Tamandua tetradactyla: one gene and its partners. The protein of the gene in region 3 binds, or shares a complex with, the protein of the main gene of each other region. Links are inferred from orthologs where the notes say so. Each region holds a gene or a part of one and is shown on either strand. Other genes may lie near its edges.

Evidence for each region. Proteins that work in one complex are often made in the same cells at the same time.
Region 1: TIMM10B (region 3) and TIMM29 share a complex: the UniProt entries of both Homo sapiens proteins name them as parts of the TIM22 complex. The link is inferred for Tamandua tetradactyla from reciprocal best matches to the Homo sapiens genes TIMM10B and TIMM29.
Region 2: the proteins of TIMM10B (region 3) and TIMM10 are in contact, whole or in part, in a cryo-EM structure (PDB 7CGP), measured with the Homo sapiens proteins. The link is inferred for Tamandua tetradactyla from reciprocal best matches to the Homo sapiens genes TIMM10B and TIMM10. Residues at the interface, in NP_036324.1 of Homo sapiens: Gln7, Leu11, Leu14, Arg15, Phe17, Leu18, Leu19, Tyr21, Asn22, Arg23, Met24, Thr25, Glu26, Cys28, Phe29, Val33, Pro34, Ser35, Leu36, His37, His38, Arg39, Leu41, Glu46, Leu49, His50, Ala53, Gly54, Ile57, His61; in NP_036588.1 of Homo sapiens: Ala6, Leu9, Leu13, Glu16, Met17, Asp20, Met21, Arg24, Ala28, Lys32, Cys50, Asp52, Arg53, Cys54, Ser56, Lys57, Tyr58, Asp60, Ile61, His62, Glu63, Arg64, Met65, Gly66, Lys68, Leu69, Leu72, Asp76.

What each region holds. Positions count from the first base shown.
Region 1 is NC_135337.1:90,946,861-90,954,538, forward strand, and holds the start of TIMM29 (mitochondrial import inner membrane translocase subunit Tim29), read right to left. Parts: upstream 3,023-7,678; 5' UTR 2,911-3,022; coding exon of another isoform or gene 2,880-2,910; 5' UTR 2,569-2,879; coding exon 2,364-2,568; exon of another isoform or gene 2,293-2,363; intron 2,290-2,292; coding exon 1,601-2,289; 3' UTR 1-1,600. Other genes in the region: protein YIPF2, read left to right, coding at 2,880-2,910, 3,273-3,430, 3,522-3,602, 4,507-4,594, 4,955-5,071, 5,151-5,317, 5,400-5,582, 5,664-5,780; histone-arginine methyltransferase CARM1, read right to left, coding at 7,275-7,417, 7,574-7,642. UniProt on the Homo sapiens protein: Component of the TIM22 complex, a complex that mediates the import and insertion of multi-pass transmembrane proteins into the mitochondrial inner membrane.
Region 2 is NC_135335.1:20,056,873-20,064,555, forward strand, and holds TIMM10 (mitochondrial import inner membrane translocase subunit Tim10), read left to right. Parts: upstream 1-4,791; 5' UTR 4,792-4,903; exon of another isoform or gene 4,904-4,968; intron 4,969-5,395; 5' UTR 5,396-5,441; coding exon 5,442-5,512; intron 5,513-6,752; coding exon 6,753-6,954; 3' UTR 6,955-7,161; downstream 7,162-7,683.
Region 3 is NC_135334.1:79,905,999-79,911,811, forward strand, and holds TIMM10B (mitochondrial import inner membrane translocase subunit Tim10 B), read left to right. Parts: upstream 1-4,329; 5' UTR 4,330-4,452; coding exon 4,453-4,482; intron 4,483-4,668; coding exon 4,669-4,764; intron 4,765-4,940; coding exon 4,941-5,117; 3' UTR 5,118-5,291; downstream 5,292-5,813. Other genes in the region: ARFIP2 (arfaptin-2), read right to left, coding at 1-38, 471-645, 794-951, 1,495-1,716, 1,896-2,014, 2,881-2,977, 3,234-3,332. UniProt on the Homo sapiens protein: Component of the TIM22 complex, a complex that mediates the import and insertion of multi-pass transmembrane proteins into the mitochondrial inner membrane.

The sequences.
Region 1 (7,678 bases), on a different chromosome or scaffold from region 3:
CACATCTTTGTTTTCATAGCATTTTTGTTATTTGTGTCTGAATTCATGTTTTCTTTCTGACAAGCGATAGGAGCATGTAATAACTCCCAGCAGCACACTGTTGAGATGAAGACAGTATTACATGACTAAAGCTTGAGAATTAAGTTACAGGACTGGGAGCTACAGAGGTTGGCTCATGGCTCTCCCACAGCAATGGAAAAGGAAAGTTTCTGAAACTCAGCTATTTCCTCTCTAGAATAGGGTTGTTGACTTACAAGATGCATCCCTTGCCCATAAAAGAAGGATATAAAAATTACATGTCCAGAATACCTATGCTATGCACTAAGGGTCAAAGAGCCAAAACTTAAAAGCAGCAAAACACACCAACACGGACATCACTGCAGAGACGGCTGTTTCACCTCCTAGTTTTATGAACTAGCCACAGGCCACCTGGGTCATAGTGGTAGAATCTCACTCCCCTAACATTTTAGTTTTAAACGTATGACAGATTAGGGCGGTGTAATGGTGACTCAGTGGCAGACTTCTTGCCTGCCATGCCAAAGACCTGGGTTTGATTCCTGGAGCCTGCCCATGTCCAAAAAAAAAGTATGATAGAGTCACTACCAGCTGTGTATGCTAACTTACTCCTTGCCCATTACAGGATTCTGTATTGTCAAGGCTACCATGAGTAAGGCAATCAGAATCTAAGACTCCATATAGATTTCAGAAAATGCTTTGTCCCTCAAAGCCACTTTAAAGTTGTTGTCAATACACATATGGTAAAAAGATTGTTTTTGCAAAAAAGTTTCTCTGAAAAACCCAAATGGCCAAATAAATGTCAATGACCTGGCTTTGTTACTGCATTAGTTCTGGAAGATGTTACCACCTGAGGTATGTGGGCTTGTCTCCACTATTGTTCCAATTTCCTGTGAGAGAATTATTTCAAAACAAGTAAAAAGTTAAAACAGGAATTGTTATAAAAATTAAAAGGAGAACAGATCATAGGAGAAAAATGTTTCAGCTCAATTTTTTTTATTGTATGCTGTATGGCTGGGTTACATTTCATTACTTTTCAATGTGAGTACCTCATCACTGCAGCACCATTTATTGAATTTTTGTTTGGTAGGTTTTTTTGTTTGTTTGTTTGGGAAGTACACAGAGCGGGAATCAAACCCAGGTCTCCTGCATGGCAGGCAAAGAGAATTCTACCACTGAATTACTCTTGCACCACCCCCAGCTCAATTTTAAAAAGAGGAGCCTGAATGGTCATAGGTGACTTTGGGAATCACCTAACAACTAATGTGGTACCTCAGCAGGGGTGGAGCTGTGAGGGCAAATAAAAAAGGTTTATCATTACTAGCTCTGGCAGTGGAAAACATTACATGTTCACATCCTCTGCTTTCCTTAACTCCTAGACTAAGAAAGCTGTGTTAGCTTCAACTAACAAGGAACAAGGTGTGAGGAAGAGTCTCCCCGATTTGTAAAAACCCAGTGAGAGAACACTGCACATAATTTATTTCAGTCACTCTGCATTTGAGGCCCCCTCACACCAACTGCACAATCCCAGGCAAACAGTCTGCCAGGGCTGCGGACCCAGTCTGGAGCCAGGCCTCACTGAGCCTCATCTTGGGACCTCCGGCTGCAGCAGCGAGTCGGTCTGGCTGAGGACGAGCCTGTCTTTCTTCTTCTTCTGCAAAACCTGCTCCTCCCACAGCGCCTGGTCCACCTGGTCCTCCGTGAGCACGACAGGTTTGTACTTCTCGTCAAAGAGCCTCTCGTTGGTCTCGGAGCGCAGCTGGCGGGGCTCGACCACGCGCAAATGCGCCGGCAGATGCAGGAACTCCTCATCGTTGATGTCGCAGTCATGCATCCGGGCCTCCAGCACCCACCAGCGGCCCATGAAGCCCACATCCAGGATTCGGCTAGGAAAGTCGACCCAGCGGGGCTGGAGGTAACGGCAGCGGGCCTGGTAGAGGCTGGTCTGGGCGTCGAAGGGCGCCTCGTACACGAGCGAGCCCAGCACCAGGTTCAGGTGACGCAGGCGACCGTGGCCCCGCAGCCACAACAGCCGCTGCACGTACGCTTCGGACTCGCGGTTGCGCGTGGCCGGCGCCAGCAGCAGGAGGGTCCCGGACGCGTCGAGCAGCGCCTCCTCGAAGGCCGCCTCGCTCGGCGCCAGTGAGCAGCAGGCCGCCGCCCCGCCCAGCAGCCCCAAGTACACGGCCGCCCGCCCTGGCCGAGCCCGCGCCGCCGCCGCCGCGTCCCGGCAAGCCTCGGCGTAGTCCTGGAGCAGCGTGCGGGCCCAGATGCCTGAGGGGAGAGGAACGCGGTAAGAACGGCCCGGCCGCTGCGGCCTCCCCTCGGTGTCTCCCGCCGCCACTCACCCAGTCGCGTCCACACGCTCGGCTTCCCGGCCGCCCCGTCGCCCACCTTTTGGCCGCCTCGGGACCAAAGCCTCTTCAAAGCGGCCGCCGCCATTCTCTTCCTGCTCGGCGTCCGTTCTCCGAAGAGAAACGTCCGTAAGCGAAATAAAAGGCCCGGGCAGCTCTTCTGTGCAAGGCGCCTACAGCGCCGGAAGTGGCTTCCCATCGGAAGAGGAGTGAAGACGGACCGGCGCCGGATGTTGCTGAGAGAGCAGGGGCGGGGTTGGCGTCCTACCTGGCATGTAGGCGAGCCGCGCAGGCGCAGAGAGGCCGGACCGCGCGGGCCGAGGTACCCTCAGGTGAGGGGGGCGGGGTGTACCTGTCGGCCCGGGCGGCGAGTTCAATTCCCGGTGGGTGCCGTTAGCGGCCAGACTGGGCTGGGGACTGAGGGGTAGGGTCCGGGAGGGGACACAGGTGGGAGGCGAGCCTGATCGGTCTCTGTTCTCAGAGCGGGATGCGGTGACGTCCTGGACTGCCATGGCAGCGGCCGACGAGCTGGCCTTCCACGGTGAGTGCGGCCCCGACCCGGCCCGAGCTCCTCCTCCCGCCCGGGGCCAGAACTTCCCTTGTGGGTTTCGGACTCATACCCAACCCAAACCCCAGTCGGCTGTGAACCCTAATCCCAGCCCTGACCTAACTCGAACCCTGTCCGGCCCCGAACTCGGACCTCAAACTAGAGTCTCTCTCCCGGATCATTGGCCCCATCCCAGAAGCAAACCAGGCCCTACACTGCAGTCCCATGTCTGCAACTCAGGCCCTTCTTGCATTGGGGGAGGGCGCTGAGGAGGTGCCGATTGGAGCACAGTGCCAAGTTGAATTGCCCTGGACCCCAAAACATGCCTGTGTTCCATATTCTGGAACTCTCCACAGAGTTCGAGGAAGCCACTGATCTGCTGGCGGAGACCCCAGACGCAACCACTGTCAGCAGGAGCGATCAGCTCACCCCGCCGGGGCACGTGGCAGTGGCCGTAGGCTCAGGTGGCAGCTATGGAGCTGAGGAGGAAATGGAGGAGAGTGACAAGACCGCGGTGAGTCATCCAAGTCCTTCATGTCCTGCCCTCAAGCCGTGCCTGCTGACCCAGGCGGTAAGGGCAGGCGCTGAAAGGCCGTGTTGTGCAGCTTCTGCAGGAGGAGAAGCAACAGCCGGGATTCTGGACCTTTAGCTACTATCAGAGCTTCTTTGATGTGGACACCTCACAGGTTAGATGTGGAAAGCTGGAGGGAGGGGGTTTGGAGTCAGGCTTGGGGTTCAGTTGGTACTCATTGAGGACTTCCCATACACCAGGCCTGAGGCAGGGTGCTGACGACACTGACATGGATGAACAGGGACTGGTAGAGGGTGACTGGCATTCATGGTTGGGTGGGTCAAAGGAAGGCTCCCTGGAGGTGAGGAACTGGCTGAGACTTAAAGAAGAAAAATTTACTGGGGGAGAGTGGAGGGAATCCAGGCACAGGGAGCAGCTTATGCAGAGGGGCAGGGGTGAGTGAATGCATGGACAGTTGCAGAAGCTGCAAGCCACTGAATCTTCTTGGAGAGTATGAAGTAGGAGGCGGTGCTGCAAGATGAAGTGGGACAGGCAGGCAGAAGTCAGATCACAGAGGACCTTGTGAGCTAGGGTAAGGTGTCCAGGTTTTATCGTGAGAGTGAGGAGGCATTTGGAAGGGTTTAGAGGAAAAGTGGGATGAGTAGGCATGCCACAGAATATGGATTGGAGGCTAGGGAGGGGGTGATGACAAAGCAGGGCTGCAGAGGAGGGGACCTATTGGAGGGAGATGTGGGAAGGAAAACGCCTAGGACTCGCTGACTGACCTGACTGGGTAGGAGGGGAGGCAGTGAGAGCAGTTCAGAGCAGCCAAACCAAGAGGAGGGGAAGCAAACGGGAAGATGGCAGGCCCGGAAGAGGCGGGAGCTGGCCAGGGGAAGGGGCTCCAGACCACGAAACAGTCTTTGTAGAAGCCCAGAAGGCAGAGGTGACCTCTTTCAGGTTGGGTGTGGAGAGAGGAGATTGGGGGTTTGTAAGGGGGCAGGATGGCCCCTTCCTTCTGAGGGTGGTGGGGAGCCACTGGTAGGCTTCCCCATCTGGGCTGGCCTTGTTCCCCGCAGGTGCTGGACCGGATCCGAGGCTCGCTGCTGCCCCGGCCTGGCCACAACTTTGTACGGCACCATCTGCGGAATCGGCCGGACCTGTATGGTGAGTGAGGTTGTGCCTTCTTCAGTTCATGGAATTATTCACTCAACAAGTGAGGACTGAGCCCCAGGCCCTGGGGGTACAGCTGAGCACAAAGCAGTCGTTCACAGAGTATGAAACTTAGATCTCCTGTTTAGGGAGACGGAGACATAAAAGACTGCAGGGGTGATGGAAAGTAGCGGGTGCCAGGTGGCAGGAGGAGAAGCCAAGCAGCTGAGAGGGTACAGAGCATCGTTACTTTGCCTGGGTAGTCAGGGGGGAGGCCTCTTGGAGGAGGCAGTGGGGGGATCCAGAGAAGAGCATTCCAGGAAGAGTGAACAGCGCTGGGCCGGGGACCCTGATGGCACCCTGCCCTGCCCCTAGGTCCCTTCTGGATCTGCGCCACCCTGGCCTTCGTCCTGGCCATCACTGGCAACCTGACATTGGTGCTGGCCCAGAGGAGGGATCCCTCTATCCACTACAGCCCCCAGTTCCACAAGGGTAAGGCAGGCAGGCTGGCCCAGCAGGTGGGGGCCAGGGGAGGCCTGGGGCTAATTAGCTGTGGTGGCCCTCCCCACAGTGACCGTGGCTGGCACTGCCATCTACTGTTATGCTTGGCTGGTGCCACTGGCACTATGGGGCTTCCTACGGTGGCGCGCGGGCACCCGGGAGCGCATGGGGCCTTACAGCTTCCTGGAGACAGTGTGTGTCTACGGCTACTCTCTCTTCGTCTTCATCCCCACTGTGGTGAGTGGGGCCCGGGCAGGGGGTGTGGTGGACGCCTTGGGGGCCCCGACACAGTGGTCACCAGCAGCCTGTGCCACCTCAGGTCCTCTGGCTCATCCCGGTGCCGTGGCTGCAGTGGCTCCTGGGGGCGCTGGCCCTGGCCCTTTCGGCCACGGGCCTGGTGCTGACCCTGTGGCCCGTGGTCCGTGAGGACACCAGGCTGGCAGCTGTGGCACTGCTGGCCACCGTGGTGCTGCTCCATGCTCTCCTGGCCCTGGGCTGTAAGGTAGGGTGCAGGGGCGTGGCCGGGTCCCAGGCTGGGTGGGGCGTTCACGGCCCCAGTGCTGACCCCAGGGACGTCGTGCAGTTGTACTTCTTCCAGCCGTTGCCTTTGGAGCATGTGGTCCCTGCACCCCAAGCCACTTTTCTGCCCCCCACCACGCTGCTGCCGCCCTCCCTGTCACGGTCTACCGCAGTCTCCTAGGATACCCTGGACCTATGGGTAAGCTCCTTGCTCGGCTGGGGCTGGGGCTAGGGCACCTACTGTCCAGGCCACCCAGCCTAGGAGTTATGGGGCCTTTCTTGGTGTCTGTTCTCTTTCAGGGAAATTGTGTAAGAGACGCCTCTGGCCCCCACCCCCAGACGATGATGAAGCCTCCCTTGGCACCTCGAGACCACTCTGCTACTTGCCAGACTTTTCTTACAAAGCAAACACTTTTATTTTCTATGCAAAGGTGATTTGGAGAGTTTATATAAAGGTGGGGGGGGCATCCGAGCAGGGCGCGTCCGGTGTGGTGGCAGGCAGCAGCCAAGGGAGCAGTGCCCACGCCTACAGACTGCCCACTGCCCCCGCTGGCCCTGACGCCACTGCAGGCAGTTGGGGACCTACCTTAGGCACCCCAGGCTCCCTTTCCTCCAGGTGGTCAGCAGGCCTCGGGGCCTATCCTGAGCTCCACCACGTCTGAGTTTGGGATGTTAGAAAAAGGGGAGCAGAAGGAGAAGAAAACTGCCTGTGCTGAAACATTTCCTTGTTGGTTTATTTTGTGTTTTGTTTGGTTTTATGGAGGGAACAGTCCCTGTGAGGCCCCTCCCCAGTCTAGAAGGGGGCGTCCACAAGAACAACGGAAACACAGGCCTAGGGTTAGCTGCGGGCCCAGGTTGCCCTCCACCACACCCCTCCCGAGATACAAGCGGCTGAGGCCGGGGCCTGCAGGACACCTGTCCTAGCTCTTGTGGGGGTGGAGAGGGTGAGGTTGATCTACAGGGGCTCAGGGACAGGACAGCAGCAGGAGGCAGGGGCCAAGGACGGAGGGCCTTCCCGACAGCCGGGCTGGGTCGTACATTCAAGTGTGAGGTGAACCCTTTGGTGGGGAGGGGGCTGCAGGTGCCCCAGAGGCCTGGCCTCCACCCCAAAGCTTAGGCAGGGCCGCCTGCCCCTCACTGCTGAGCTCTGAGTTGGGGAGAGGGGCTGCTGGCTCGGCCCGGCCGGCGGGTTTCTCAAAAGGTCTGTGGATTGACACTGGTTCTTTCCGTAAAAAAATAAAATTAAAAAAAGCAGCATGCCACGCCCACTGTGACCAAGGCCTGGTAGTCGAAGGGAGGCCCTGCCCAGCCAGACAGGGAGGGGACCTGGGGGGCAGCGCCCCCTCCTCAGCCCACACTTCCGGGTACAGGGTACAGCTGTCAGGCCGACATGCCTGTTCCGGACGATGTCAAACCCAGGTCAGGGTGGAGCAGGCAGGAGGGGGCCGAGAGCTCCCGCGACATGATCTTGTGTAAAATATGGCAGCGACACGCGCTCAGGGGTGGGGCAGTGGGGGAGTGGGGTGGGGGCAGCGGCAACATTGTGTAAAAAAGTGTCCAAGTTCCCATAGCAAAGAGGGCTGTGCCTGGAGCCCAGGCTCCCCCCGACAGGGTGAAGCCACCTCGGAGAGGGGTGGGCGGGTCTTCATTTGGTTTCCTGGTGCCACGAGGCCGCCTAGCTCCCATAGTGCACGCTGCTGCTGGGGATGGACATGGGCGAGGCCATGGAGATGGCGGGGCCACCCATGGTGAACTGGCTGTTGACCGCGTAGTGCGTGCTCGAGCCGCCACTGCCGCTGCCCTGGGCACCTGAGGACCCTGTGGGGTGGGGGTCAACGCTCAGGGGCCAGCTCTGCCCCCTCGCCCGCCGGACCCGCAGCAGAGTCAGAGGAGAGAAAGCAGGCGAGAGGGCGGGTGGACGACACTCACGCTGTCACCCCCCCACCACGGGAGCCCGCGCCCCCTCCCTGTTACCTTGGACAATCCCCGTGCTCATTATGGAGCCCATCCGGGAGTGGGTGTGATTGACAATCCCTGTGTTGGCTGCGCAGCAAGAGGGAGGAAGGAAGGGAGATGGCG
Region 2 (7,683 bases), on a different chromosome or scaffold from region 3:
TATTCATACATTTTGTGTTGTCATACAATTCCCTGAGTCCCCGCTCATATTTTTCCATTCTTTTCCCTATATTTTCTTTTGCTTGTTGGATTTCAGATGTCCCATCCTCCAGTTCACTAATCTTATCTTCTGCCTCTTGAAATCTAACATTGTTGGTTTCCATTTTTTTTTTATCTCTTTTACTGCGCCTTTCATTCCCATAAGATCTGTGATTTGTTTTGTCAGACTTTCGATTTCTCCTTTTTGTTCATCCCTCACCTTCTTTAGATCCTCCCTCAATTTGTTGATTTGATTTTTGATGAGATTTTCCATGTCTCTTTGAACATCCTGAATTAATTGTTTCAGCTCCTATATCTCATTTAAATTGTTGATTTGTTCCTTTGACTGGGCCACATCTTCAATTTTCCTAGTATGATTCATTATTTTTTTGCTGGCACTAGGCATTTAATTTCCTTAATTAATTTATTCTAGAGATTGTTTTCACTCTTTTACCTAGCATTTTCTTGCTGGATGGCTTTGTTTTCTATCTGTTCTTTGACATTCAGTTTAGCTTATTCTAGACCTCTAGCATAGGTTTTGTTTAATGAATCAGAATTTCTCAGTTTTCTTGTTCCTTGCCCTGCCCATATGGTGCCTTTTTTTTTTTTCCTTAGGAGGGTCTACTCAGGTATTATAGACTCCAGTCAGATTTCCCAGACTGGCCTCCTCTCCAGAGGAAAGAGTCACCTGCATCAGTTTTCCCTGTGGGTAAGACCCAGCAGGTTGCAAGGTTTTCCTATGAAGCCTCTGGACTCTGCATTTTTCCTATCCTGCCTAGTATGTGGTGCTTGTCTACCTGTGGGTCTCACCAGCATAAAGTGATGTGGTGCCTTTAACTTCAGCAGACTCTCTCTGCTGGGATAAGACAGACGAGAGGTTGTAGGATGGCTTTAATTACTTCAGTTTTCTAGTCCCTGCAGTCTGAATTCCTTGAGGGAGGGATTCCACATGAGCTGGACCCTACTCCTCTCCTGGGGAAGGCACAGGCTCCAGGGAATTACCTCCTTTTTCCTGACCAGCCTCTTTGTCTCTCAGACAAGCTCAATTCTGTCCTTGCCGAGGGCAGTTGGAGCCTAGAAGACTTACAGTTGTAAAAAAAAAAAAAAAAATCCTTTTCAGAGCAGGACCCCTGTTCCTCAGGTTTGTTAATCAAGAGCTTAAGTTTGTACATTGCTCTATGTATCTCCAGGTCCTACGTGTCCCCTCTTTTTTTTTTTTTTTAGGGTCCAGACCTTTTCAAGTATTTTGTGATGTCTGATCCAAAAACCTCTTTTTTTTTTTTCATCAGCTCTCCATCAGTGCCAGGGGAAAAACTAGTAACCTTAGCTTTTATTTGAAGTTTAGCTGAGCTGGGGGCCTATTTTTTTGTTCCGCTTTTTGCATGGGCAGGCACTGGGAAATGAACTCAGGTCTCTGGCATGGCAGGTGAGACTTCTGTCACTGAGCCACCATCACACTGCCCCTGGGGGCCTATTTTTAGTAGTCAGAATTTGTTAATTAATTCCACAGTGGGAGCTTGCTTGAGCTCAGACCCTGCTGTTAGTAAAGTCTCTTTCCTTTGCCCTCTGGAAAGTAGCCTGTGGGTTAGGGGCGCTGGCCTATGCAGCTTGGGGACCTTACGGTTCTGGGCGGGATCGCAGCTGGTCCAGCTTGTCCAGACTGGTGTATGCTGTGTGTTCGGCCACTGATGCAGCCCCAGCAGTTGTTCTGTCCTGTTCCTGGCTATTTACTAGCTGCTCTGGAGGACGGACTAAATTCCACACCTCACTAAGCTACGATCTTGGACTCCATCCAGGCCATTCCATTCTTATCCCCTCTCTGCCTGCTCATCTCGGGGGGAGGACACCAAGGCTGACATTGTATTCTGTACATCTCTTGTGAGTGGTTCAGATGGACACCATGGGTGATAAGCCTACATCCTTTACTCTGGGAATACAGTTCCCCATCCAAGAGGAAAATACTGACTCCTGGTGAGTGACAAATAGACAACTCCCCTCTGTGAGGGTGGGAAGGGGTAGAACCTAGGGCTGAGCCAGAACTTCCCCATGGTGCTGACAGAGGTCAGCAGTTTTAGATGATATAGCTGGGATCCAAAGAGATCTTTTCAGGCTAGGGCTATAAGCTATATTTTTATTTTTTAAATTTCTATTGATAAAACTTAACATACAAACATTCTTAACAAACACATATTTATTACATGGTGTACAGTCAGTAGCTCACAGTATCATCACATAGTTGTGTATTCATCACCACGATAATTTTTTGAACATTTGTATCACTCCAGAGAAAGAAATAAAAAAGAAAAAAGGAAAAACTCATACACTCCACACCCCTTACCACTCCTTCTCAGTGACCACTAGTATTTCCATCTACCCAATTCATTTTAACCTTTGTCCCCCCATTATTTGCTTACTTTTTATCCATATTTTTTACTCATCTGTCCATACCCTAGACACAATGAGCATCAGACACAAGGTTTTTCACAATCACACAGTCACACTGTAAAAGCCATATCATTATAAAATCAACTTCAAGAATCAGGGCTACTGGAACACAGCTCTCCAGTTTCAGGTACTTCCCCCCAGCCACTCCAATACAACATAAACTGAAAAGGGATATCTATATAATGCATAAGAATAACCTCCAGAATACAAGCTGTCTTTTACAAGAAGAAATTTCACAGGGACAAGTGGAGAGTCCTACTTGCAGGTCCCCAAATCATCAACTGTATAAGTATAGGAAAGGAAAGATATGATTTCATAGTAAATAGTGATAATAGCAATAAAACCATTGCCATCAGTAACAACAATGCTTTCCTTTTATGGAGCATCTACAATGGACTACGTCTTTATATTCTCTTTTTTTTTTGTAATTTTTTAGCTTTTTATTTTGTGATAATTATAAGTTCATAGGTAGTAGCAAGGCTAATACAGAGAGATCCTGTACACCCTTCAACCAGCTTCCCCCAATGGTTAAACCTTACATAACTCTAGCACCATGACAAAGCCAGGGAACTAAGGAAGTCAGGTACAAAGAGGAAATAATGTGTGATGCCATTTATATGAAATCCGAGAACACTGAAAGTAATTGATGGTGATAGACTAGTGGTTAACCGTGAGAAAGGATATATAGATTGGGAAGGAGCAGGAAAGAACATTTTTGGGGTGCTGGAAGTATTTTATATCTTACTCTTTTATTTATTTTTTTTACATGGGCAGGCACTGGGGAACTGAACCCGGGTCTCCCGCATGGCAAGTGAGAATTCTGCCGCTGAGCCACCATCGCGCCACCCAGTATTTTATATCTTGATCCAGGTGGTGGTTATATGGATGCATACATATTTTAAAATTAAGCAAGCTTAAGATTAGTCTATTTTACACACTTTACTGTACGAATGTTATACCTCAATAAGAAAGAAAACGAATCAGGGCACAGAGTTTGACAAGGTTGAATCTTTAGAGCTGTAATGAGACAGACTTTTTAAAATCAGGACTGTCGTGGGTAGCTGGGGAAGTTTATGTTGACCATACATATAAAATGTCCAGCACATATGGAAGGAAGTACCCGAAACTGCCGAGTTGTGTTCCAGTAGCCTTGATTTTTGAAGATGATTATATAATGATACAGCTTTTACAATGGGACTGTGTGGTTGTGGAAACCTTGTGTCTGATGCTCCTTTTGTCCAGAGTATGGACGGTTGAGTAAAAAATATATGGATAAAAAATAAATAAACATTAGGGGGACAAAAGTTAAAATAAATCGGGTGGATGGAAATACTAGCTGTCAACGAGAGGCAGGGGTAAGGGGTAAGGTCTGTATGAGTTTTTGTTTGTTTCCTGGGGTGACACAAATGTTCTGAAAACGATTGTGGTGATGAATCCACAACTATGTGATCTATGTGATGATATTGTGACCCGTTAGTCATACACCATGTATGGACTGTATGTGAAGACTTCTCAATAAAAAATATTTTTACAAAAATGTCCAGCACCTCGTAGGCTAAAGACAAAGAGCTGAGTTTACGTTTGTTCACACAGTCCACATTCTCCCATGGGCCGTGTAACCTTGTGACATTAAGTTACATTTTGTGGATTTAACTCTCTGGGAAATTATGTGAAAAATCAAGGGCCAAGGTGTGTTTGGAGGTGTGTGTGCGTGTGTGTGTAGATCTAGGATTACGGTAAGTCTGGAAAGATGAAGAGTTCACCAGTCTCCTCTCCCTCATCCCAATGCACCAATGAACTCTGGTAGCAGCCGAAACTGCTCCTACTCATCTCTCCACGGCCCAGAGGGATCTAAATAAAACGTGCACTTTACCTGCCTTCGGCGAGAAGGAGCCATGCCTCGCGTATCTCTGCCTGGATCTTGCTCCCAGAGATTGTTTTAATGGGTGTGAGGCACGACCTGGGCACAGGGAGTTTTAAAAGCGCCCCAGGTGATTTTAATGTGCAGCAAAATCCTAAACGCGCCCTCCAAGGCCGTGTTTCCTTCTCCACGCCTGACTTGCAGTCAAGAGCCTGCTCTCCCCGGTAGGGGCAAGGATGGCCGAGCTCCGTCGTCCTCGTCCCTCCCTAGAGAACCAAATAAACTCAAATCTCTTCCCGACAGCCCACCTGAATTCCAACCCGGCTGCGGGCGCTCTGCACCCGGCCCAGCTCTCTATGGTCTTTTGGTGTCCCCTCTAGCACTTTCAAGGCGCCTTCGCCTTCGGCGGGGGCCCGCCGCTCCCTCTCTATGGTAGCGGACCTCCAGGCTCCGCCTCGTTGGTACTCAATTCCGGAAGCTAGTCCGGATCAAAGAGGAGGTGGGACTCCCCTCCCGGAAGCGATCCACGTGCTTCCGTTTTGCCTGACCCGGCAACCTGGTGAGTTTCCAGCGTTCACCCGAAGTTGGGGACACGGGGGGCATATTGACCGATCCCAGGCCCAGGTGAGTGACCTGTGACTCCTGACCCCGAGGTGGGCCTGATCACGGTGCAGCCATTTCTGAGTGGCCGCCCTTGTGTGGGGGCCCGAGCGCTTCGGTCCCACTTGGGATCAAGTAACCAGGGCCCCTGAGGTTCGGTTCCTCGGCTTAGGGTGATGTTCCACCCCGGGCTCTCGGTCTTCTCCTGGATAGAGGTGACCCCGAGGGATTGGGCGTCAGGGCGCTAGGGCTCGTTTTACGGCCCCGCCGTTCGTGTGCTGTGTGACCTTGGATTAGGCAGTATTCCCCTTCGGGCCTCAGTTTCCACACCTGTGAATGAGGTGATTGGGCTCACTGAGCTCAGTGGGCTCCTCCAGGGGTGACGGATTTGTAGCTCCTGAGTTAGGAGAACGAACGGAGGGTGGGTGCTGAAGGTGACGTCTGCCCCCAGGACAGGGAGGCCAGAAGGAGATCCCCTCCACGGTGCCCGGATTGAGATGGATCCACTCAGGGCCCAGCAGCTGGCGGCGGAGCTGGAGGTGGAGATGATGGCTGATATGTACAACAGGTAACAGCAGCCGGCCCGGCACCACCCTAAGTCTTGGGGGATGAGCCTTGGTCAGTCTTTCCCAGGGCAGGGGCGGAGGACTTCTAAAAAATGCTTTCCTCGATCGAGGGAAATCAAGGGAAGCCAGAGGCCGGTGCTTACCCATCCCGACTCCTCCCATGTTGAACTACTAATGGAGACTCACTATGGCGTCACCAGAACAAATCAGACTTTTAGGTTGGGATGAAATTGAAGAGGAAGGAGTCGAGCCGTGAGAGAAGCTCCATTCCAGGTTCTGAGCGGGTTCCAAGAACAGTTGAGTGTTTGCCTCTTGATGCATAGCAGATGGCCATTTAGTGGTTAGCCTTTCTTAAACTCTTACTCCATGTCAGACATTTGCTGAGCATTTTACACCCATTATCTTTTTTAATATTCAAAATAATCCAGTGGGTTAATTTTATAAGATAAAGAATTTGAGGCATCTAGAGGTTAATTAACTTCCACAGGCTGGTCACTAGTAGGACTAATACCTCAGTCTGACTCCAGAGTTAGGGCTCATAACCACTTTGTAAATATGGAAACAAACCCTGATTCCACTAATCTAATAGTATAGCCTTGGATAATTTCTTGGGCTCTTTGATGATCGTGTCTTCAGCGATAAGATGTAGATAATAATAGTATCTACCTCGTAGAGACATGGTAAATATTAAATGTAAAAATGTTTGATAACCTTTTAGCATCAAGCCCAGCACAGAGGAAGAAGTCAATAAATTGTTTGCTGTTTTTATCAGCTGTAGCTCTCTGCTATCCATTCCCCCGAATGCTTGGTTCATCTTGGAGGCTATATGTCAGAATGGTTTTAAAATGTGGGCTGTGAAGTCAGACTGCCCAGCTTTATGTCATCCTCAGCAAATTACTGAGCCTCTTTGTGCCTTAATTTCCTCATCTGTGAAATGGGAAAAGATAATGCCTATCTCATAGGCTTGTTGTAAGACCTGCATAAGAGGATCCATTTAAAGAATTAATCCTGATGCCTGGCACATAGCCAGTACTTAATTAATGGTTTCTATTTCATTAGTCATCTATAAGGACTCAGACAGAATTCTTACTCACAAGGGCCTTCCAAGCTGGTTGGGGTGCAGATACAATTTACACTGCCTTCTTGGAAGCAGTGAAATCTTTATAGCTAGCAGGAACAGTCGAGGGTCCCTGGGATGCCACAGAATGCTACTGACCTGAACTTGTCTGTCTTTCCCTGCAGAATGACCAGTGCCTGCCACCGGAAGTGTGTGCCTCCCCATTACAAGGAAGCAGAACTGTCCAAGGGCGAATCTGTATGCCTGGACCGGTGTGTCTCCAAGTACCTGGACATCCATGAGCGGATGGGCAAAAAGTTGACAGAGTTATCTATGCAGGATGAAGAGCTGATGAAGAGGGTGCAGCAGAGCTCTGGGCCCGTGTGAGGCTCCAGACATACACACCCTGGGCTGCATCCTGCCCCTTCCCACTTCCTAATAAAAGTGCCCCCCATTGGGTGCCATCTGTGAAGACTGTGCCAGGCCTTGGCTCTCTCTGGATGGTCTCCAGGAGCCTGGAGTGTGGTAAAGCTCTTTCCTGGTTGAAGAAGGGGTATCTGTCACACTGGAATTAAAATTGTGTGTATGTGTGTATATATATCTATATATATTAAAATAAGTTTGACACTTACTATGTGCAAAGCAGTGTGCTTGGCACTCTGGAGGAAAGAAAGCAGACATAGCATCTGCCGGCAGAGGGAGTTTAACAAAGTATTAAGAGTACAGACTAGTATGACAGCTTAGGTTTGTACCCTGAGCATGTCACTCCTCTGGACTTGAGCTTCCTCCTGAAATGGGGATAATGTTGTCTACCTCATTCGGCTTTTTGAGGGTTAAATGAGTTAATATGTGTAAAGCATTTGGAATAATGACGGGCATAGGAAGTGTTCAATAAGTGTTAGCTATATTAAAAAAACAACCTGAAATTCCGTGGGAACAGGCAGGTAGGCATTTTCACAAATGATATAAAGGAATGATTTAGAGGCAAAGATAAAAAGTAGGTGAGATTTAAGAAATCAGCCTCTTGGTTCTAAAGGGCAATATCAGGAAGTATGTGACGTGATTGAGCCTGCCTAGGCCCAAAGCCAGGGAAGGGTTTGAGTGATAACCACTTTT
Region 3 (5,813 bases):
TTGTGGAAGAGCAGCAGCTGCTTGTGCATCACCTTGATCTGGAGGTCCAGCGGGGTCAGCTAAGGCTAGACTCAGTGCCCTCCTTGAGGGTCTATGAGCCTCAGTTTAGGCCCAGACCAGGGACATGTGGACTCTGCTCTGATGGGACTGAACTCCACCAAGGGAATCAAAGGAAAAACCTGACTTGATTTGCTAGGCATGAGTTTCTGGCATCCCCACCCAAGGGGTGATTTTTCTGTTATACTCCAAATCCGCCAACAGGAAAGGGCCAGGAATTGGAAGGATGGTAATTGAAAAGACCCAGGCAGTGAGGGGGCTGGGCAGAATATCCCATTTCTTAGCAGGCTGGAATAGCTGGGCTATTAAAACTTAGCAGGGCTTCCTGATTCAATGATGGAGAGAGGAACTAGGGAGAACGTAAGTGCCATAGATGGGAAGGTACACTGGGGTCAAAGGGGTGGGGTTGGCACCTTGTTTTCTTCCAGGAACTTGAGCTTGATGGCAACATCTCCCCGCAGCTTCTCGTACTTGTCCCGATGGGCCTGGAAAGTGGCCTGGGCGCTCTCGAGTCTGCCCCGTGTCCCTGCATCCCGGGGGCCTAGGCTCAGCTCCTCTAAGTCTGTTCGGTAGGCGTCATATTCCAGCCTGAGGAGGGGGTGATATAGGCTAGTCTCCACCCTTTTGTCCTCCACATATACTCTCTTTTTCTTCCTGGATTCTTATGACCCTAATGCCCAAACTTCCACCCATGCCAGCCAATTCCCAAAACCTTAGGCCCTGCCAGCGCTCACACCTGGCAGCCTCATACTGTTTGACAGTCATGAGTGTATCTTCCATGGTCTTAGTGACCAACGTGTTGATGCTAGAGACAAAGAAGTTCACAGCCCCTAGCAGCGTCTCCCCATTCTTGCACAGCAGCTTCTGCGTCTCCGCATTGTAGCCAAATTCCTCCTAAAGGCAGAAGGGAAGGACAGGACTTGAGTTACTGTCCCTGCCTGACTAAAGTTGTAGGGCCCTTCACTCCCCTCCTCCCCAAGGAGGACATAGCCATTAAATTACACTGAAACACCAAAAGACTGCCTCCAGCGAGGCTATCTCAGCCACAAAGGTAGTGGTCCACCCTGGGGATGCCTGGGGTAGGGACATGGGAAGTAGGGGTTCTCATAAATTCACAAGACTGGAACAGGGAAAGCTAGTGCAGCAGGCAGGGAAAGGACTCCGATTAGGCCGAGCACCACAGGCATTCTTGCCAATACAGAGATGGGTTACTTGTGAGTCACCTAGTACTCCCCCTACCCCCAACCCCTCCAACTCTGGACTTCTGTACACACCCTTAGGCTGCCTCCACAGGTGAGTGTTGCTGGGGGCAGGGCTGGGCCCACCCTGGAGGGGTTCTGCCTGTGGGCTGTAGGAGGGAGGGAGGGAGGCTGAGGGGTGACTGCCTGGGAGGGCCCGAGCCCAGGTCCCCCACCCTCTTTGGCCTGGCTGAGGCACCTGAAGCTCTGGGGACTTCTGGCTGAGGTCAGCAAAGGCGTCCCCCAGTGCATGCTGGGTCTGCAGCAGGCTGTAGAGATGGGCTGTCAATGCCCGGCCCAACTGCAGGACACTCTCATACTTGCGCTTCGTCTCACGCAGCAACTCAATCTGCAGCTCTAGTTCCAGGTCCACAGTCCGGGAGCCTCGCCCAAATCGCTCTGATAACAGCTGCTTTGTACACTGATTGGGAAGTGGAAGAATAAGTCAGAGACCCTAGAACCCTCACCACCTACTCAGGTACCCACCCCTGCATCCCCAGATGCCAGATCTCAGTCATAGATGGGATATTAGGGTCTCGGGAGAAGGGAAAACATTACCCAAGGGAATTATGAGTATATGGAGAGGTGCTCAAATCCCACCTTGTATGTGTTGATGCCCCATTTCTTGACGATGTCAAACTTCTCTCCAGCGATGCCCCGAGCCACCTCATCTCCAGTGCCAGAGGGAGTGGCACTGTGAGAAGGATGGCGTCCGGATCCTAAAGGACCAAATTCTCTGACATTAGCCTCTTTCAGATACAACCAGATACCTCTGTGGCCCCACTCATACTTCCCTCCCAGGACATGAAAATGACTTCCCTGAAGCAGCAGGGACTAAAGACACAGATTTGCCTGTTCACTAGGGAGAACTCATACCTTATGCCCTGAGACCCAAATCCCATATACATGTTCTGCCTGGGAGGGCCCGAGGCAGGAGATGTATATTCTTCCCATACTTGTACAGCAGCTTCTGTGTCTCTGCAGTGTAGCCAAATTCCTCCTGAAGAAAGAAGTGAGGGACACCTCCTTCTGAGGTGTGTGTGTGTGTGGGGGGGGGGGGGGCACTGTTGCTACAGTACAGTCTCTCCCAGAAACAGAAGAAAATGTACCAAGTATATTGGAGGGAGGGCGGAGGAGGAGAAGGGCAGGTTAAGATTGGTTGATCCTAATAATAGGAAACCTGGTGACTTTCCCATGTGGCATTCTAGTCTGTGTGGAACTTGGGACTGTTTGTTTCTCTAAATTTTAGAGTCTTAAATAGACCTTTAAGAAACTTCAGAAAATTCAAAATCAGTCTCAAGCTACAGAACAGTAGAACTTCTGAGAACTAGAAGTCTTAACCTGGTTCAAGTAGTAATAGTAAGGAAAGAATAAATGGGTGTATCTCAGGGGCTAAATGGCAAATGGGAGCATATGGACAACACTGGGAGCTGCTCTTGGACTGAAGAGGGTCCATGGAGTTCATACTAACGGAACCTCCCCCCAGACCTCCATGTATAAACCAAACTTCTCTAGACATATCTGACACTCCCCAGAACAATTCCTATCCTCCCTCTTCACTCAACCTTCCTGTTTCTGATCATACCTGTAGGGATGAGTCCATCACCAGAGCCCCCATAACCACCAGACACAATGCTGGTTTCATTGAGGTTGGGTCCTGACACCATCACCTGCTGGAGGTCCTAAAGGCCAGAGAAGAGAGGGGCTTCAGGAACACAGGGCAGCTGAAGCACTTTGACGGTAGGAACAAGGTTGGATTGAAACATCAAAGAGAGAGCACTCAAGGGAAGTCTGCACAGAACCAGAATGAAGATATGTGAAAAGATTAAGGGGAGTTAGCTACATTAAGGGAAAGCTAGTGGAATGAGAGTGACAGCCCAGGATCTGAGTTGGGATTGCTAAATTGAAACAAATAGGAGAAGAATCAAACTGAAGCACCTGCTCCAGCCCATCATCCTCAGGAAGCTGCCCAGCTTCGCCATTCCCGTGGATGGGGATCTCCATGGTGGCTGCCTTCCCCAGGATCCCGTCCGTCATGGCTGGAGAAGCAACTGGAGTCAAAGTCTCCACCCCAGGGCCCTGCAAAACCCGACACAGTTCTGGAAACAGGCCAGCACTCTAGGAGAAGAAAGCCTCCCCGGCCATTTTTAAGGTTTTAGAGGTTATCCCCAGGGATTAAATGTGGCCTGGGGCTCAGCCACCACTCCTCTCCTCAGGTGTATGTTTCTCCTCTCCAGCGTGCACATTTTTACACAGGCACATTCAGGCCTCAGGTGTCTTCTCACAACCCCTCAAACGCACCAGGACTCGGTTGCTCAATCATGCATTCAATCATTCAGTAGGCATTTAATGAATGCCTACCATGTGGCAGGTACTACATGAAGCTCTAGGAATGCAGCAGTGAATAAGAGAGATGAAGTCTGTGCCTTCGATGGAGCTTATCTCCATTCATGTGTCTCTCCACCGACCAGGAGATGAACCCTTCTCCAGGGCTCAGGTGTCCGCCCCCATTAGGGTATATTCTCTATTGCTCGGCCATTACCAGTCTTTTAATTTTCTTCCCTCTTACTTCAGGTGGTCTCTCCCTTCTCCATCCCATGCACCTTCTCCTCCTCAGCACCTCCTCACCAGGATTAATCAGTCGATGTATGTTCCCCATCTGTAGTAAAAACCTCCCTTTTCCAGGACACAGATGATGCCTTCCAAAGTCAGTTATGTCTCCCCAGGTGTGTGAGCCCGCCCCACCCCCATACACCTGGGCATCAGGTGTGTCTCCATCCTTCCCCTGGGCTCAGGGGCATCTTGCCGATAGGGCAGCTTCGTGCATTTAACTCCCCCTCGCCCAAGTATGAACCTCTCACCTCGGGCCGGGCCGCTCTTCCCCTCAGGGCGCCAGGCCCGGGCCGCGCGGGGACCTCGGGCTCCAGTTCCCGTCGCGATCCTAGCAGCAGGTCAGGGATTCGGCGGAAGTGACGTCCCTCATGGGCAGAAGAAGCCGGCCACGTCGCAGATTATGAGGGCGGTAGTGACGTTAGCCTCCGGGGGCAGGGCGCTCTTTGAGCCAACCCCTCAGTCCTCTGGGAATCGGAGAAAGATCACTTCCGGGGCGTTATCGAGAAACGGCAATGAAAGTGATGTGGTACGCGCAGGTGGCGTGATGGAGCAGCAACAGCAGCAACTGAGAAACGTGAGTGGGTCGGTGCAGGGCTGTCCCTTCAGCTCACATCCCTACCCCCGAAGGGATAACCCAAAGAGCTAGGGATTCAAAGGCTGGGAGTATCAGGCTGTGATGCCTGTGAAACCTCGGGCGGCGGGGACTGAAGTGACGTGTGGAGCCCCTTATCGCTGTGTTCCTGGCTCCCTTTTCTCCCAGTTGCGAGATTTCCTGTTGGTCTATAATCGGATGACAGAACTCTGCTTCCTACGCTGCGTGCCCAGCCTGCACCACCGAGCTCTGGACGCCGAGGAGGTGGGGAACTGAGTAGGAATTCCTCAATTATCGGTAGACTATCTCCCCTTCCCTGCTTCCCCCACCTCCGGCCCCAGCCTTTCCATGGTCTTTGGCTGTAGGCTGGGGATGACGAAGGAAGGCGATGAGGCCTGGTAGGACCCTTTGGCCTCTACTTCCATCTGTCTTTTTTCCAGGAGGCCTGTCTGCACAGCTGTGCTGGGAAGCTGATCCATTCCAACCACCGCCTCATGGCTGCTTATGTGCAGCTCATGCCTGCCCTGGTACAGCGCCGCATCGCAGACTACGAGGCTACCTCGGCTGTGCCAGGTGTTGCTTCTGAACAACCGGGAGTCTCCCCATCAGGCAGCTAGCTGTCCCCTCCCCAGGAGGGGAGGGACTGGAGGGAACCTCAGATTGAGGAAGCCAGTGGACCTTGGGCTGGGTGAAAGCTCTACAGAGTAGGTGAGGGGAATGCCTGAGAGCTTGGTATCGTTTCTTCTTTCCCTGGAGCCAATAAACTGGCTTTTGACTCCGTTTGATTTCCATTCTGGGCAGGGAAACTTTGCTTGCTTTATTGGCACCATCTTTTGTTCTGCCAGTTAGTGCATATTTGTTAACTTCAGACCTGGCAGCTGAAAAATTACCTTTATATGCAGAAGAATACCTCAACAGTCCCAGATCCCTGGTTAAAGCAGGATTTGTGGGTATAATTTCCAAGTTTGTAAAAGTAATAGAAAGTTGGTTCTTGCTCAGATGACAGAGAAAATGGGAGCTCTGTCTTGCTGTCCTTGAGACTTAAATGGCTCACTCGTGAGCTAAGTCTGTATTAATAACTAATTTTTTCATGGACTGTGTCTTACAAGAAAGGATTCTGCCAGGTCTCAGGAACAGTGGCAGTACCTAAGAGCAACAGATCAAAAAACAAAAGGACTTTTAGCACTACCTCCTGGGAAGTCAGTGGCCAGGAGCAGAAATGATCCTATAGAACTTCATCCATTTTCTGAGGTCATACTTTATTATTATTATTTTCTGTCTTCCCAAGATGAGGAGTAAAACCTTTAAACAAA